Linked DNA regions of Danio rerio. The protein of the gene in region 1 purifies or fractionates together with the protein of each later gene. This does not show direct contact. Links are inferred from orthologs where the notes say so. Each region holds a gene or a part of one and is shown on either strand. Other genes may lie near its edges. The genes, in order: mlxipl and mlx.

Region 1 (8,491 bases):
TATATATATATATATATATATAGCACGTCACTCCACTACTCATCCGTTTGCACTGGCTGCCAGTTGCTGCTTGCATCAAATTCAAAGCTCTGATGTTTGCTTACAAAGCGACTTCAAAGCGACTTCACTTTCCCGAACTCTCACATTCAATCTGCCCAGTTGGTGGAATGAACTCCCTAACTGCATCAGAACGGCAGAGTCACTCGCTGTCTTCAAGAAACGACTAAAAACTCAACTATTTAGTCTCCACTTCACTTCCTAATCTGCAATTGCCTCTCTGGCTCCTCCACTAACTACCAAAAAAAATTACTAATGTTGCTTCTTAGACTTTACAGACCTGAAACTTGCCTACAGCACTTATTCATTGTTGCTCTTATAGTTGCGTAAATTGCTTCCTTTTCCTCATTTGTAAGTCGCTTACTTAATATTTTAATTCTTTTTCATTTGTAAAGATATTTGCGTATTGCTCTACATCTTAAGCAGTGTGTAAGCAAGGCACACAATTTACGCACTCTGCGTTGGACAATAGACCGGCTTTGTTCTGGTCTAAAGAACCGACTCTTATAGTATCTCAAAATAGCAACGCGCCAAAACACGCCTGCTTTTTTAGATCAGAACGCCTATGGGCGCACATATGAGTGCAAATGCATTTGCTATTTAAACAGCGTGGCACAAAACGTCAAAATGACCCTTGCGCCGAGCTGAAACTAGCAAACAATTGCGTCGCGCCTTGAGCTACAATGTGCCGGGTGTATGATAGGACCCTAAGGGTCTTTTCATACACCCAGCGCAATAAGACGCTAGACGTGTTTGGCGCGTTATGTTGCTATTTTCAGAGCAGCACAACCCTAATTTTCACATTTTACATTTTGCGGGATCGAATCTGTATCGGTCGATTCTCAGAATTTTGTCAACAGGATCGGATCAGTTCCGAAAAAATGATATCAGTGCATCCCTAAAAAATGTTTTCATCCAGAAATGAGCATCAACACAAATGTGTTTTATATTTGCAGTTAGTTTTCCAGGAAGCATGGGTCAGACATCACCTACCAGTGCAGCTGAGAAAAGCCCAGAGTCAAAGTTGGAGTCCTCACGAGTAAGTTTCTGCTTAAAACATTTTATAAGCACACAGTTTGAGTTGAGTCTCTTACACATCTCTATGATCTTGCAGACAGACACACGACGGATCACACACATCTCTGCCGAACAGAAGAGACGGTTCAACATCAAGCTGGGGTTTGATACGTTACACAGTCTGGTGACGACTCTGAGCTCACAGCCCAGTATAAAGGTAAAGTACACTGCCTTCAGTCACTACAATACCTGACAAAAGTCCTGACTATGCAAGTTTTAAGAACGACAAATAATAACATGACTTCTAGTTGATCATTTGGTATCAGAAGTGGCTTATATGAAAGGCAAAGGCCTCTAGATTACGCTATTTGAGCACAATTAAATATGATCATGCCTTGATTATAATTGATGTCATTAGGACAGTAAGCTCTGACTCTGCTTAGGCTAAAGTCTCATCACTGAACTGAAATAATGTCCAGTATAGAATATAAAGTCCTGCTGCAGTGGAGAAAGAATGAATATTGTGTCTGACTCCATCATGAGCTTGGAGGACTGCATCCATACATCTCTGACATGACTCAAATCACTGATTAATAAAGTCATCTGGAATGAAGGAGAAAGCCTTCCTGCAGGACTCCCAGAGTTCATCAAGACCCTTTGTGTATATCTTCAATGCCTCCTCCTTCATCTTGCTCAATAATGTTGATATCTGGTGACTGGGCTGGCCAATCCTGGAGCAGCTTGACCTTCTTTGCTTTCAGGAGCTTTGATGTGGAGGCTGAAGTATGAGAAGAAGCGCTATCCTGCTGGAGAATTGTCCCTCTCCTGTGGTTTGTAATGTAATGGGCAGCACAAATGTCTTGATACCTCAGGCTGTTGATGTTGATCATCCACTCTGCAGATCTCTCGCACACCCCCATACTGAATGTTACCCCAAACCAAGAGTTTTCCTTCACCAAACTTGACTGATTTCTGTGAGAATCTTGGCTCCATGCTGGTTCCAGTAGGTCTTCTGCAGTATTTGTGATGATTGGGATGCAGCTCAACAGATGATTCATGGGAGAAATAGACTTTCTGCCACTTTTCCAAATGATCTAGTCATGAAGTTATTATCTGTTGCTCTTACATCTGAGATTGACGACGAGACTTTTGGTAGGTAGTGTAGACCTAAATAAAATAAAGTAAACTTTGTCTAAAATGGTGAACATGCACACATGCTTGAAGTGTGGCTGCAAGGGCATCCGCTTCATATGCTGGAGTAGTTGGCGGTTCATTTCACTGAGGCGACTCCTGATAAATAAGGGACTAAGCCAAAGGAATATTAATGAATAAATGAATAATATACACTCTTCGTCTATGCAAAGGTATTTCAATAAATTTTACAAAGTTTTTAGATTATTATTAATACTTACAGGTTGCATTAAGTACACTTTAGCTGTGCTGAATTAATAGAATTTTTTATTTCTAATGCATCTTTGGTGTTTTTGCTTATACTTTTTCACACAGGGCTATTTTGTATTTTCATTCATTCATTCATTTTCTTGTCGGCTTTCGGGTCGCCACAGCGGAATGAACCGCCAACTTATCCAGCAAGTTTTTACACAGCGGATGCCCTACCAGGCGCAACCCATCTCTGGGAAACATCCACACACACACACACACATTCGCACACACACTACGGACAATTTAGTCTACCCAATTCACCTGTACCGCATGTCTTTGACTGTTGGGGAAACCGCAGCTCTGGGAGTAAACCCACGCGAAGGCAGGGAGAACATGCAAACGCCACTTGGAAACGCCAACTGAGCCGAGGTTCGAACCAGCGACCCAGCGACCTTCTCGCTGTGAGGCGACAGCACTACCTACTGCGCCACTGCCTCGCCCTATTTTGTATTTTGTTTTGCCTTAACTATAAAAAGTTGCATTAAAAAAACTGCATGATGTGTTTACTTGTGTCACCTAATATTTAACTTTGTTTGATGATGATCTGAAACAGACTACTAGCTTCATTGGGTATTCTTGGTTCCTCGCTGACACTTTTTCCTGTAATTTCTGCGGTTCACAGATCAGTAAAGCCACGACTTTGCAGAAAACGGCAGAGTACATCAGTAAGATGCAGCAGGAGAGAGCACAGCTTCATGAGGAGGCGCAGAGGCTGAGAGACCAGATCCTGGCACTCAATTCCGCCATCAAGTCAGTGTAATCCAACTCATTAAAGTTCTTATTATTGGGAAAATGTGCCCAGGGCTACATATTTGAGAACTGAGAAATATGTGCTTGTGGGTACATACAGTTGAAGTCAGAATTATTAGCCCCCTTTGATTTTTTTTTTCCTTCTTTTTAAAATATTTCCCAAATTATGTTTAACAGAGCAAGGAAATTTTCACAGTATGTCTGATAATATTTTTTCTTCTGGAGAAAGTCTTATTTGTTTTATTTTGGCTAGAATAAAATCAGTTTTTAATTTTTTAAACACCGTTTTAGGGACAAAATTATTAGCCCCTTAAAACTATATATTTTTTCGATAATCTACAGAACAAACCATCATTATACAAACACTTGCCTAATTCCCCTAACCTGCCTAGTTAACCTAATTAACCTAGTTAAGCCTTTAAATGTCACTTTAAGCTGTATAGAAGTGTCTTGAAGAATATCTAGTCAAATATTATTTACTGTCGTCATGGCAAAAAGAAAATAAATCAGTTATTAGAGATGAATTATTAAAACTGTTATGTTTAGAAATGTGTTGAAAAAATCTGCTCTCTGTTAAACAGAAATTGGATAAAAAATAAACAAGCGGTCTAATAATTCAGGGGGGGCTAATAATTCTGACTTCAACTGTATAGCCAGTGTTGGGGATCATACTTTGGAAATGTAATAGATTACACAAAATTTAATAAGTAGTGTACCTTTTTAATTGCTTTACGTTAGTAAAGTAACATCTGATTACTTTTTAATTACTTTTAAGTTTCTAATGGATATTTTCAACTAAATCAATTTCAAGCAGATGTGACCTTACAGTAGCTCAGTTTACTGTTATCTCTCATAACCTGAATTAGGATTATATTAATTTAATTTAAAGTTCAGCCACCACAAAACCAGACCTTATTACAAAAAAAGTGTTTACTGTTAGTACAAAATCAAAATTGTACTTGGAAAGTGTGATATGTGTGATAGTCCAGAGGAGACGTTAACACTAATGCATTATTTTGAAACTCTGTTTAGTGTGTGTCAGCAGCAGCTCCCCGCTACAGGCGTTCCAATAACACGGCAGAGGTTTGACCACATGAGGGAGAAGTTCAGAGAATATGTGAGAGCTCAAACGCTGCAGAACTGGAAGTTCTGGATTGTATCCTGCAAAGCTCTGTGTCTGTTGAGGAACCAATGAACCCATACTGCATGAAAAATACTGCTAATAACACATTATAGCGAACTACCTTTAAGGCAGGGGTGTCAAACTCATTTTAGCTCAGGGGCCACATGGAGAAAAAGCTGTTCCCAAGTGGGCCAGACTGGAAAAATCATGGTATAGTTAACTTAAAAACAGCAACTTAAGATTGTTTTAATATGATCAACATAAAGCTGGAGCCTGAGCACCACACAATCTCTTAGCAATTCATAACTTTTTGATTTTTTTTTCTTTCTTTTTTTGGATGCCCTTCCAGCTGCAACCCATCTCTGGGAAACATCCATACACATTTACCCACACACACTCATACACTACGGACAATTTAGCCTACCCAATTCACCTGTACCGCATGTCTTTGGACTGTGGGGGAAACCGGAGCACATGGAGACTCGAACCAGCGACCTTCTTGCTGTGAGGCGACAGCACTACCTACTGCGCCACTGCCTCGCCCTGTAATAGTTCGATATCTTGAGTTATATGATGTATCTTATCATATTATTTTCCTGTTTGTCGTTATTACATCACGTTCATAATATCACGTCACGTGGACCCCTCGCTGTGCTGTGTTTTATAAAACCCATTTCTAAGCTGGTGTTGGGCGGCATGGTGGCTCAGTGGTTAGCACAGTCGCCTCACAGAAAGAAGGTCACTGGTTCGAGTCCCGGCTGGGCCAGTTGTTATTTCTATGTAGAGTTTGCCTGTTCTCCTTGTTTTGGCGTGGGGTTTCTCCGGGTGCTCCGGTTCCCCCCACAGTCCAAACACATGCGCTATGGGTGAATTGAATAAGCTAAATTGGCCGTAGTGTATGAGTGTGTGTGAATGAGTGTGTATAAGTGTGTCACAGTACTGGGTTACAACTGGAAAGGCATCCGCTGCATAAAGCACATGCTGGAATAGTTGTTGGTTCATCGGACGGTGGCGACCGACAATTGGTGCGCTTCCAGAATGTTTTGTGAATCTAGTCTCTAGCATCCAAAAACATCAGTGCTGGTGAAAGTGCTTTATATTTTCCTGAACTGCTGTTCTCTCAGTTCAGCATCATCATCGAGCCGCTGTTCGAGTCGTTTAACAGTATGGTTTCCACAGCCAGTGTTGATGATCTGTGTCGCAGCACGCTCTCCTGGCTGGACCAGCACTGCTCTCTGCCTACACTCAGACCCAGTGAGTGACCGCTTACTATTTCATTTACCTCAAAACATTTTACTGCCGTTTAAACTACATCCATAAACAGTTAAAGTCAGAATTATGAGCCCCTCTGTTTATTTTTTTCCCAATTTCTGTTTAACGGAGAGCAGATTTTTTCAACACATTTATAATCATAATAGTTTTAATAACTCATTTCTAATAACTGGTTTATTTTATCTTTGCCATGATGACAGTAAATATTGTTTGACTAGATATTCTTCAAGATGCTAGTATTCAGCTTAAAAAAAGGAAGAGTAGGTTAAAGTTTGGGTGATTAGGCAAGTCATTGTATAACAGTGGTTTGTTTTGTAGACAATCCAAAACAAAAATTGCTTAAGGGGGCTAATAATATTGACCTTACAATGGCTTAAAATAAATTAAACTGATACTATTTTAGCCAAAATAAAACAAACAAGACTTTCTCCAGAAGAAATTTCATAGAATCACATTTGATGAATAGAAAGTTAGTATAGCATGTCATTAAAACAGAATAATGTTAATAACAGAATTAAATATTTAGATGATCATTTATTCGAATAACATCATTTTTACATTATAAATGTCTTTACTGTCAATTTTTATCAATTTCATGTATTCTTTCTGAATAAAAATACTACTTAGTTTCAATAAAAAAAGGTTTAAATAAAATATCATATTAAAAAAATCATTAATAATCATTTAGAAAGTTAGTATAGCATGTTATTAAGACAGAATAATGTTAATAACAGAATTAGATAATTAGATACTCATTTATTCGAATAACAGATTTTTTTTGACATTATGAATGTCTTTACTGTAAATTTTTATCAATTTCATGTATTCTTTCTAAATAAAAATACAACTTAGTTTTGTATTAAAAAGTTAAATATCAAATAAAAAAATCATTAAAATCATTAATAATCATTTAGAAAGTTAGTATAGCTGGCTAACCATTTTCATGTTTTTTGGGCTTGCCCCAAAAATACAAACATTCTAGTGTGAAATAGCGACTAAAATAAAAAAAGATAACTGGAGAAGAATTGGAGTACTCATTTATAACATTATACCTTGGGAAAATTCTAGAAATTATTCCAACTATTGACAAGTACTTAATTCAAATCCTTTTGGTAAGTAGCAGAAAAGCCAGAACTCGAAAATAGTTTTCCTCTTTCTTTTCTCTAAATAAAAAAGTAAAAAACAAAAAAACAGTTAGTATAGCATTTTATTGAAACAAAATAATGTCAATAACATAATTAAACATTATTAGATCATTTATTTGATAAATAAAATTACTTTTTTGACATTATAAATGTGTTTACTGTCATTTTTTATCATTTTTTTGTTTTCTTTCTGAATAAAAATACAACCTAATTTCTTTTAAAAAGTTTAATTAATTTTAAAAGTCTGAGAAATTATTAAATAATTTAAAAAAATAATTAGCTGGCTTTTACAACGGCATTTAACATGCTTATATGATTAGACATGAAGTCTAATCTTTAAATATAGGTTTAATAGTAGTACTTCTTTTTCTTTCTGACTCTATCAAGTTTCATTTGCTTTATTGGCATAACGTGTTTTAAGTATTGCAAATTCATTTGAACTATTTATAAAACTGAAATGACTTGCATTATTAAAATAATAAAATATACAATAAATGAGAAATAAATGACTGAAAAAAGGAACAATACTAAACAGTGTAGATTACTTAAATAAGGAAAATGAATTCTGTGGATTAATAATTTCTTCTGTCTCTCTTCTTCCAGCTGTTTTGAGTTCACTTCGTCTGCTCAGCACTTCCACATCAATCCTTTCAGACCCAAGTTTGGTTCCTGAACAAGCCGTCCAGGCAGTCACTCACGGACATTCATCGCACAGCTACAGCCAATGACAGCACACGCTCTCAGAATGACAGCCAATCAATAAACTTTGTCCCGTAGATACAGCCAATGACAGCACATGCACTCAGAATGACAGCAAATCAAATAATTTCCATCTATAGATACAGCCAATGACAGCACACGCTCTCAGAACGACAGCCAATCATAAAGCTTCATTCCACAGCTACAGCCAATGACAGCACACTCTCCCAGAATGACAGCCAATTATAAAACTTCATCCCACAGCTACAGCTAATGACAGCACACGCTTTCAAAATGACAGCCAATCATAAAGATTCATTCCACAGCTATAGCCAATGACAGCACACGCTTTCAAAATGACAGCCAATCATAAAGCTTCATTCCACAGCTATAGCCAATGACAGCACACGCTTTCAAAATGACAGCCAATCATAAAGCTTCATTCCACAGCCAATGACAGCACACGCTTTCAAAATGACAGCCAATCATAAAGCTTCATTCCACAGCTATAGCCAATGACAGCACATGCTTTCAAAATGACAGCCAATCATAAAGCTTCATTCCACAGCTATAGCCAATGACAGCACACTCTCCTAGAATGACAGCCAATTATAAAACTTCATCCCACAGCTCCAGCCAATGACAGCACACTCTCCTAGAATGACAGCCAATTATAAAACTTCATCCCACAGCTCCAGCCAATGACAGCACACAATCTCAAAATAACAGCCAATCATAAAACTTCATTCCACAGCCAATGACAGCACACACTCTCAGAATGACGGCCAATCATAACACTTCATCCCACAGCTGCAGCCAATGACAGCACACGCTGTCAGAATGACAGCCAATCATAACACTTCATCCCACAGCTATAGCCAATGACAGCACACACTCTTAAACTACAGCCAATCATAACACTTCATCCTATAGCTACAGCCAATGACAGCACACTCTCTCAAACTACAGCCAATCATAACACTTC
Region 2 (8,491 bases), on another chromosome or scaffold:
ATGGCACCTTCAGTGACAACGGCTTTGACCACAGTAAGTAGATCAATAAGTCTCAACTGTCAGTCGATACCAAGATGAAAAAAATGACTTTAATAACGAAAATCAGAAAGGTTATTATAGCAAGCTGTCTTTAATATTTCTAGAAATATATCTAATGTCATGCTACCTGTACTTTTTGATACTAGTATCATTTTAAGTACTATTACTTATTGATACATGCATTTCTACTTAAACATAGAAGAAAACCTCTCTCATAGAGAGAAACATAGTTTAGTGCACTGTCCTGCTCCTAACGTTTGTGTAATACTTTATTTTTAAATTAAGTGAACTATTTAGCAGTTTTGACGCAAAACAATTTAGCGCTTTTGTCATTTATTAATGATTTATTAATGATTAAAAAGTCTGTCGATAACTTGTGTTTGTTTGAATATTTCTTTTATTCTGAATTTTTTTTGCCATAAAGATAGCCAGTAAATCTGACATAGCATTAAATAAAAGATGTGAAAAGATACGACATTAGTACTCATTAATTTGTACTTTTTAATAGATAGAAGTACTTTTCATTAGATACTACCTATTAAAGCATCTGTTTATAGGTACCAGTATGTAACGATAAAGCACTAGAGTCTAAATAATAGAAACTAGTGTCAAATAATCTTCAATCAGTGTATAAAATATGTCACATTTGGAATACATAGTTGCCAAAACTAGATGTACATACTAGTGAAAATAGATCCCTATATACAAAAATGGAAACTATGTTAAATTAGAATAACAGCCCCCCTCTTTATTTTCCCCCAATTTCTGTTTAACAGAGAGATTTTCTCAACACATATCTAAGCATAATAGTTTTAATAACTAATTTCTAATAACTGATTTCTTTTATCTTTGCCATGATGACAGTAAATAATATTTGACTAGATATTTTTCAAGACACTTCTATACAGCTTAAAGTGACATTTAAAGGCTTAACTAGGTTAATTAGGTTAACTAGGCAGGTTAGGGTAATTAGGCAAGTTATTGTATAACGATGGTTTGTTCTGTAGACTATCCAAAAAAAAATTGGCTTAAAGGGGCTCATAATTTTGACACTAAAATGGCTTTTAAAAATTAAAAACTGCTTTCATTCTAGCCGAAATAAAATGGATAAGACTTTTTTCAGACGAAAAAATATTATCAGACATAATATTTTTTGCTCTTTTAAACATCATTTGGGAAATTTTTAGAAAAGAAAGTGATGCACTAGGGTAACAAGGTTATTAGTTCTATAATAGTTACTTAAAGCTAATATATTAATTACAAACATGCACGTATGAAAACTAATTCTATCATTCTATTTTTTTTTTATCTATAAAACTAACACTAGTATTAAAAACTGTTTGCTTTGTTCTGTGCAATATTGGACTTACCAAACACATGACAATTTTATTGAAATATTTACATTTTCCTTGACCTCCATATCTCTAGGTTTTTTTGCAGAGAGCGCACGTAAAGGAAGTTTGGTGTCTAGAGCCAACAGTATCGGATCCACAAGTGCCTCTTCAGTACCAAACACAGGTGATGATACTGCTATTTATTCAGTGTCAAACATAGCCGTTTGTTGTGTATATCAAACTCTTTACTCTGAATTTCCCATTGTTTCCTGTTCAGAATCACAAGGTTATTCATCAGTCACCTTTCACTGTGAATGATTCATCCATGCATGCATTTTATTCATTCCCTTTTCCTTCTTTTTATTATCGTCTTAACTGGATTTTCCTTTGGTGATTTTGCATGACAGACTTCATGTATATTTAAATACGTTTTAAACAGCTGACTTGTTATAATCTTTTTTGATAATCCACTTGAGTAACAGAGTGAATGAAAATGTGTCAATATTTCCCTATTATCTGCATTTTAAGATGGACAATGAAATACTTTTGTTATCAATTTAGTTTATTTTGTTTTGTGTCTTTTGCTTCAGTTTTTTTGTGTGATCTTAATGACTGCTGATGGCTAACAGATATTTGTTCCTCCCATTGGTTTAGATGATGAAGACAGTGACAACAGACATGAGACGCCTTATAAAGAGTCATATAAAGACCGCAGGAGGCACGCACACACGCAGGCAGAGCAGAAACGCAGGGACGCCATCAAGGTATGTGTGACGCTTTTCAGGCTAACAGACAGACACATGGAAAAAAGTAGCTGACGAAATAAAAGTCTTTTCTGGTTTATTAGTACACTAGTATGACAAACTAGAGTAACCAGTTTGGTTTGGATTCAAAGTAGAGTGATCATTCTTTTTGTAATTGACTTTAAAATACAAATGCCCAGTCTTAAAGGGGAAAAAAGGTGATGAACGTTTTAAGAATACAATAAGCAGTTTATACAACTGACCCTGTTGGAATTGCTGTTTCTTCTTTCTCTTCTTTTTCTTATCCAGAATGAATCGCTATTTTGTTTAGATTTTGATCTAAACATGCCCGAAAACTCACAAAACATTGCATCTGCCCCAGAAGTAGCAAAAATTTACGTTTGTTATAGGTTTCCGAAGTGGGCGTGGCAAAATGACATGACAGCTCCACCCATGCACATTAAACAGACTAGCCTCCAAGCTACGATTCACGCACACATATTAAAACTGACAGACCTGCCTGAAAATTCTCACGTTCGATAAGATTCCTCTCCTGAAGACATCTGCATGCCAATATCGAGTCACAGTCATAGCACCACCTGCTGACAGAAGGAAGTTTGGCATATATTGATGATTTCTGAATTTTTTTTTAGATATTTATCAGCTTAATATATTATTGTTCGCTGTGCTCTGTCATCCTGAGGCCACCGAGTGGTCCCAGGTCCCTTTCATTGCTGCTTGCAGCTTTAATTTGACTTGTGTTTACTAGTTTAGGAAACATAATAAATCTAAGAAATAGAAAAAGGTAACACTTTCATTTAAGGTGTCCATATATATGTTCCACTACTTACATATACGTACACCAATTATAAAAATGAGTTAGTTATGCATAATTACGCACAACTAACCTATATTTAGTAGGTACATGTAATTAATTGACATGTAAAACAGTAGTTACATAAATAGTTACACTGTAACAAGGACATAAAGAAAATGTATCAAATAAAATCAAGAAAATTTTGTGCTCATTTTATGGCGGCTCTTTGGAGGGGACCTAAGTAGGATCATTATTATTATAAAAACTATTATTGCTATTATGATTATTTTAAAGCTCTACGTTTGCTGTTGTACGTCTGTTGATATGTTTTGTTGATTTGCATCATTAGGCCACAAAAAAATACAAAAATAAATCAATTTCACAATGCTGTATATTATTGCTACTACCAGTTAAGTGAAAGAAATAATAATATTGTAATATGTCAATGTAAAAATAAAGTGTAAGAATCAATTTAATTTTAGCAGTTGTAAACGTATGTTATAATGTTTATATTAAATCTTAATTACTTTTTATTTTTAAAACATCAGGCTTTTATTTTGCTGGAAAACTACAGCGAGATTAGCACATTGTATTTCCAAGTGCAAAACCCAAACTCTTGGCAGATACTAAGATGAGTTGTGTTTACTTTGCACCAAGCCATTGAAAACCCTAAGTAGCTTGCTTATAAAATAGCACAGTTCTGCATGTTGCAAGTTTAACTCCTTCAAATTATCTCCATGGATCTTTAATCTCACAGAAAGGCTATGATGACCTGCAGTCTATAGTGCCTACATGTCAGCAGCAGTCAGACTTCTCCATGGCCACACAAAAGATGAGCAAAGCTACAGTCCTGCAAAAGAGTGAGAACCTTCAATACCTATTTATATGCTGTTGTCATCTTGTGTGGAATGAAAAGGCTCAGCAACTTTATATGTGTGTGTGTGTGTCTGTGTGTGTAGCAATCGACTACATTCAGTTTCTCCACAAAGAAAAGAAGAAGCAGGAAGAGGATGTTTCCACACTTAGGAAGGAGGTGATGGCGCTGAAAATTATGAAAACGTGAGTAGTTGGTTATTTAGAGGGGGGCCGGAAACATTTTAACAGCTCATGCAGACAAGTATAGATTCAGTTACACTCCTGTAGGGCTTTTTCAGGTTTCATAAGGCTTTATCTGACACCATCATTCTTCTGTTAAGAAAGATAAAAAACACCCTTTTAGGAGAACAAAGTTTTCAACCAAAAACAACTATTTTTAAGAGTTTTTCCTGTTCGTTTACAAAACAGCATTTTTGGGGACTAAAAATGGGTCACAAGGTAGAAGTTTTTGAAAACGCTGCAATTGTTGAGTGTGTGTAAACGCCTGAAAAAACAATCTTTGAAATTTATGACGTCATGTGTGCTGAATGGTATGCATTTAGTGTAATGTAGATTAAAGACAAGCACAAACACATAACATTGACAGAGTATGTGGAGGTGTTGTTGTTTGCTAACAATCCATAATCTAAGTGTCGATTTACTTCATATTACAACTAAAAGTGGAGACGCATCTTACACACACACACTGCAAATTTTATGTACACACCAGCAACAAGCTGCCAATGACCTTTTGTCACTTCCTTAAAGGTAGCACTAACAAGTAGACCAAATACTGGCCTGGCATATGTAATACAGTCCTTTTGTAAATGTGTAAAGCAGTGGTCACACTAGAGTTTGAGGTTGCAAAATTCTGTCATATTACGCTGTGAAACTGGGCAGGATAAAACAAGATGATTAAGACATCAAATTATGGAGCAATTGCTTGCTTTATGAAATTTCAGTACAGAAAAGTCACGTTTGGAATGGATCATGCAGTTACGTGATGCGATTTCACAGGTCAGGGTTCACTGAACTTTTGAACGCAGTGAATCTTGTTGCAGGAGCTTGTGTTTCTGGTCTGTTGAATTTGCATGCGTTTGAAAGGAACTCACTGTACCGTTCACACTACACGACTTGATTTTGTGTCTTTAAATCGCTGTGGTGTTTACACTACGCAACACTACCTAAATTATCCACAAGAGGGGGTCACACACTACATGATCTGACAACAACTCGTTCCACAACAGCTCAGTCAAGCACAGCCAATAAAATGTTGAGGGAGGAGACAGCAAAAAAAACTGAACACTATTGGCTGCTTGAGTGCTGATAACATCACTGACCGTAGCTATGTTTCCATCCAAAAATGCTAAATAAATTTATGCGCAAAACTGGATTATTGCATAAAAAATATATATGTATAAAGCAGCGTTTCCATCCAACAAGTCAAAGCCAACAAAATTGTCTCTTCTTGATTATCTGGCACCAAATATCAACAGTAAAAACGGAATTTGCTGCGGTAGGAGAAGCTGCGCGAATCTTTTCATTTAATAAATGACTTGCACTTTAGAAGGCAATCCCGACACGCAGTGGGCGCGTGGTGAAATTTGAAGGCGTGAGACGTGGAGCACTTTTCTAAAAGCTTTAAAGGAAATGTTTAAAAATATTGTCAGTCAGCTGATGCATCAGCAGATCAGTCGCTCATTTGCAAGGTTTACTAAAAGTGAGGTCCAGGGGCCTGTTTCAGAAAGGAGGTTAAGTAAAGTATTTTAACCCTGAAATGAGGGAAACTCTGGGTTTTCCGTTTCAAAATGGCAGGTTTGTCAAACTGGAGAAACCAGGGTAAGTCAAGCCTGTTTCTGAAAGAAAGGTAACTTTAACTCAGAGTCAGTTACCATGGTAACTTACTCTGTGAACCTAACCTGGTCAGAAGCAGGTTTTATTCTCTAAACTCAGAATTTCTGTTGGTCTCCTCCCTTTTTTAAAGATGAAGTGTTTTTTCTCGCCGTAGCCTTACGTTTCCACCCACTTTTTTGATGCTCATATTTAATATGTGCCTAAAAACGATTGATGGACACGTCATGATGCACATAAGTTTTGAAAATATGCATAAAAACACATGCATAACTGAGTAGGAAAACCTTTTATTCGATAGAAAATATGCGCATAAACTATGATGGAAACACTTTTACTGAACAAATTACAGTATGTGCATTAAAAAAGGTTATGATATGATGATGAAAATGTGTGTAAATGGACAAACCAGCAGGCTGAGCACACTACACATCTTAAATGTTGTTTTGCTCATTTTAAAATGCCTTAACTGTTTCAGTATTAGCGTATATAATTAATTACTTCCGATCATCTGGAGCGTGTTAAGAATCTCCGCGTCTCATGGCTTCAAACGCCCCCACGTGTTCACCGTGTGTCAGCATTGTCTTCTGACTCTGAGGCGCAAGTACATTTATAAATAAAGAAATAATTGACAGCTTCTTCTACCACAGTAAATTCTGTTTTTACTGTTGATAATTAATCAGTTAATCAGGAAGTGACAATTTTGTTATCTTTGACTCGTTGGATGGCAACGCTGCTTTATTCACATCTTTTATGCAATATTCCAGTTTTGCACATAAATTTATGTAATATACTTGGATGGAAACATACATTGCCTACATTTTAGTCACACACAGAACAAAGTCACGTACGAGAATGGCTTGTCCCTTTTTAAAAGCATAAATAATTAGCTTAAATTTACTGACCTTCGACATGTACTGTTACTAGATTAATGGAATTATTATTCTTATAACATTTTTTTCTAGTTCTGCTTACCTTCTAAATGTTATATCAAACTATCACTTGATCAGTAAAAAAGGCAGACACACAAGTTCACTGTTAAATCAATTAATACTTGATAAACATGTATAAATGTTTAGAAAAAAATATAATTGTCAAACATTACATTACTTATTTTATTATACTTAAATATTTAAATGAAAAATTACACATTAACTTGAGCAGCTGTTTTCCCAGGCTGTCTCTGTTTCACTGATGGTTGCTTCGTTTTAAATATATACACTCATATTTGCTATAACTTTGCATCATCACATCAAGTTCAGCTGGAGAAAGAAATGCTGATCTCTTTTTTTAAGATGGTGCCATGGTCACCCGTAATATCTGCCCTCCATTAATAATGCCTTTTTATAGTCACGGTGTGTGAGCTTAACTCTGAGTTGATCTACTCAGCTATTCTGAAACCCAAAACTTTGAGTTTTTAATCTCTCGGTAAATCAACTCAGAGTTTAAGTTTAAACTCTGAGTTGTTTGAACCTCCTTACTGAAACAGGCCCCAGATCTTTGCTGGTGTTCAAGTATCTTAACTAAATATTTATAAGCTATATTACCAAAAAGATATTTTTACAATAATGGTGTCATAAAATATGATGACAGACATTCAAAGCTTAATTTTAAAATCTCAATAGAAGCTTTGAATGTAAATATGATGTCTTATATGAGAACGGTCAGAATGAATGCTATGGTAATTCTGAAAGTTATAGAATTCTAGTTCCACTGTTAATATTTTAGCCTTATCTCGTGTCTGTGTAAACATACAGAGTGAGGCGAGTGCATCAATGCCCGTTCTGGCCAATCACAGACATTTCTGTTGAGCTTCTGAGCACAACAGCCATTCAGCTCATGCTCATATGCTCACTCATTGGCTGCAGCTCGTCACTACATCTGACCGCACATGGGGTTGAGTCGACCAGCTGCTCTGGAATATTCAGCACGCTAGATATTGGATTTTCGTTTGCGAGGTGTTGGCTACGCATCAGCGAGCCTCTTTGATGCGCCATTCGGTTGTTCACACATAAAGACTGCCAAGCGCCGAGCACCCCCAGATTTTTTCCTGATCACAGCCCGATCTGTTGGCAGGCTTGTAACTTTCAAATCGGGTTCAAAACAGGCTTAAAATCCTGTAGTGTGAACTAGGCTTTAAAAGTACAGACACTAGCCAGTCAACACAGAGAATAGTGCTAAGTCAATATGGAGGAAAAGCTTATGATCACGGTTGGTAATCACCCAGTGCCTTATGATCAATCCGTGTATATATTTAATCACTACTACTACTATGCTTTTTTTGTGTCAGGGTCCAAACTGGGTGCGATAGGCTATCGTCAACATGACAATCACGTCAATGTGAAGCTTTTGAACCATCAAGCGTTAAAACCTTTAGATCTTAGAGTGAGGGAGATATTCAGAAAAAAATGTCTTTGTTCAAATGTGTGTCTAAAAGGCAGATTGTGTGGTTTGTTTCAGGAACTATGAGCACATTGTGAAGGCCCATCAGAATAACCCTCAGCAGGGCAGCGAGCAGGTTTCAGATCAGGTGAAGTTCAGTGTTTTTCAGAGCATCATGGACTCTCTGTTCCAGTCCTTCAGTGCCTCAGTGTCGGTCAGCAGTTTTCAGGAGCTTTCCGCCTGTGTCTTCAGCTGGATAGAGGAACACTGCAAGCCACAGGTACACAAGCTCACACATTTAATGGGATAGTTCAACCAAAAATCAAAATGTACCTGCTATCTATTCACCTTCAAGTAAGTTTTTTAAACACAAAATAAATATGTGAATGATTGTTTGTTTTGGCTGAACTATCCCTTAAATTTCATATTTTTCCAGTTTTATAAATTGTTATTATTAAATATTTTTAATA

The links.
Region 2: the proteins of mlxipl (region 1) and mlx purify together in Homo sapiens (affinity purification with western blotting; 3 studies listed by BioGRID and IntAct, counting the BioPlex papers as one, with this or other methods). This does not show direct contact. The link is inferred for Danio rerio from reciprocal best matches to the Homo sapiens genes MLXIPL and MLX.

The regions. Positions count from the first base shown.
Region 1 is NC_133180.1:4,380,805-4,389,295, reverse strand, and holds part of mlxipl (carbohydrate-responsive element-binding protein), read left to right. Parts: intron 1-1,013; coding exon 1,014-1,096; intron 1,097-1,171; coding exon 1,172-1,291; intron 1,292-3,139; coding exon 3,140-3,267; intron 3,268-4,299; coding exon 4,300-4,423; intron 4,424-5,514; coding exon 5,515-5,644; intron 5,645-7,410; coding exon 7,411-7,535; 3' UTR 7,536-8,491. UniProt on the Homo sapiens protein: Binds DNA as a heterodimer with MLX/TCFL4 and activates transcription. Binds to the canonical E box sequence 5'-CACGTG-3'. Plays a role in transcriptional activation of glycolytic target genes. Involved in glucose-responsive gene regulation.
Region 2 is NC_133178.1:36,006,186-36,014,676, reverse strand, and holds part of mlx (max-like protein X), read left to right. Parts: coding exon 1-33; intron 34-1,467; coding exon 1,468-1,557; intron 1,558-2,027; coding exon 2,028-2,137; intron 2,138-3,690; coding exon 3,691-3,793; intron 3,794-3,892; coding exon 3,893-3,992; intron 3,993-8,099; coding exon 8,100-8,301; intron 8,302-8,491. UniProt on the Homo sapiens protein: Transcription regulator. Forms a sequence-specific DNA-binding protein complex with MAD1, MAD4, MNT, WBSCR14 and MLXIP which recognizes the core sequence 5'-CACGTG-3'. The TCFL4-MAD1, TCFL4-MAD4, TCFL4-WBSCR14 complexes are transcriptional repressors.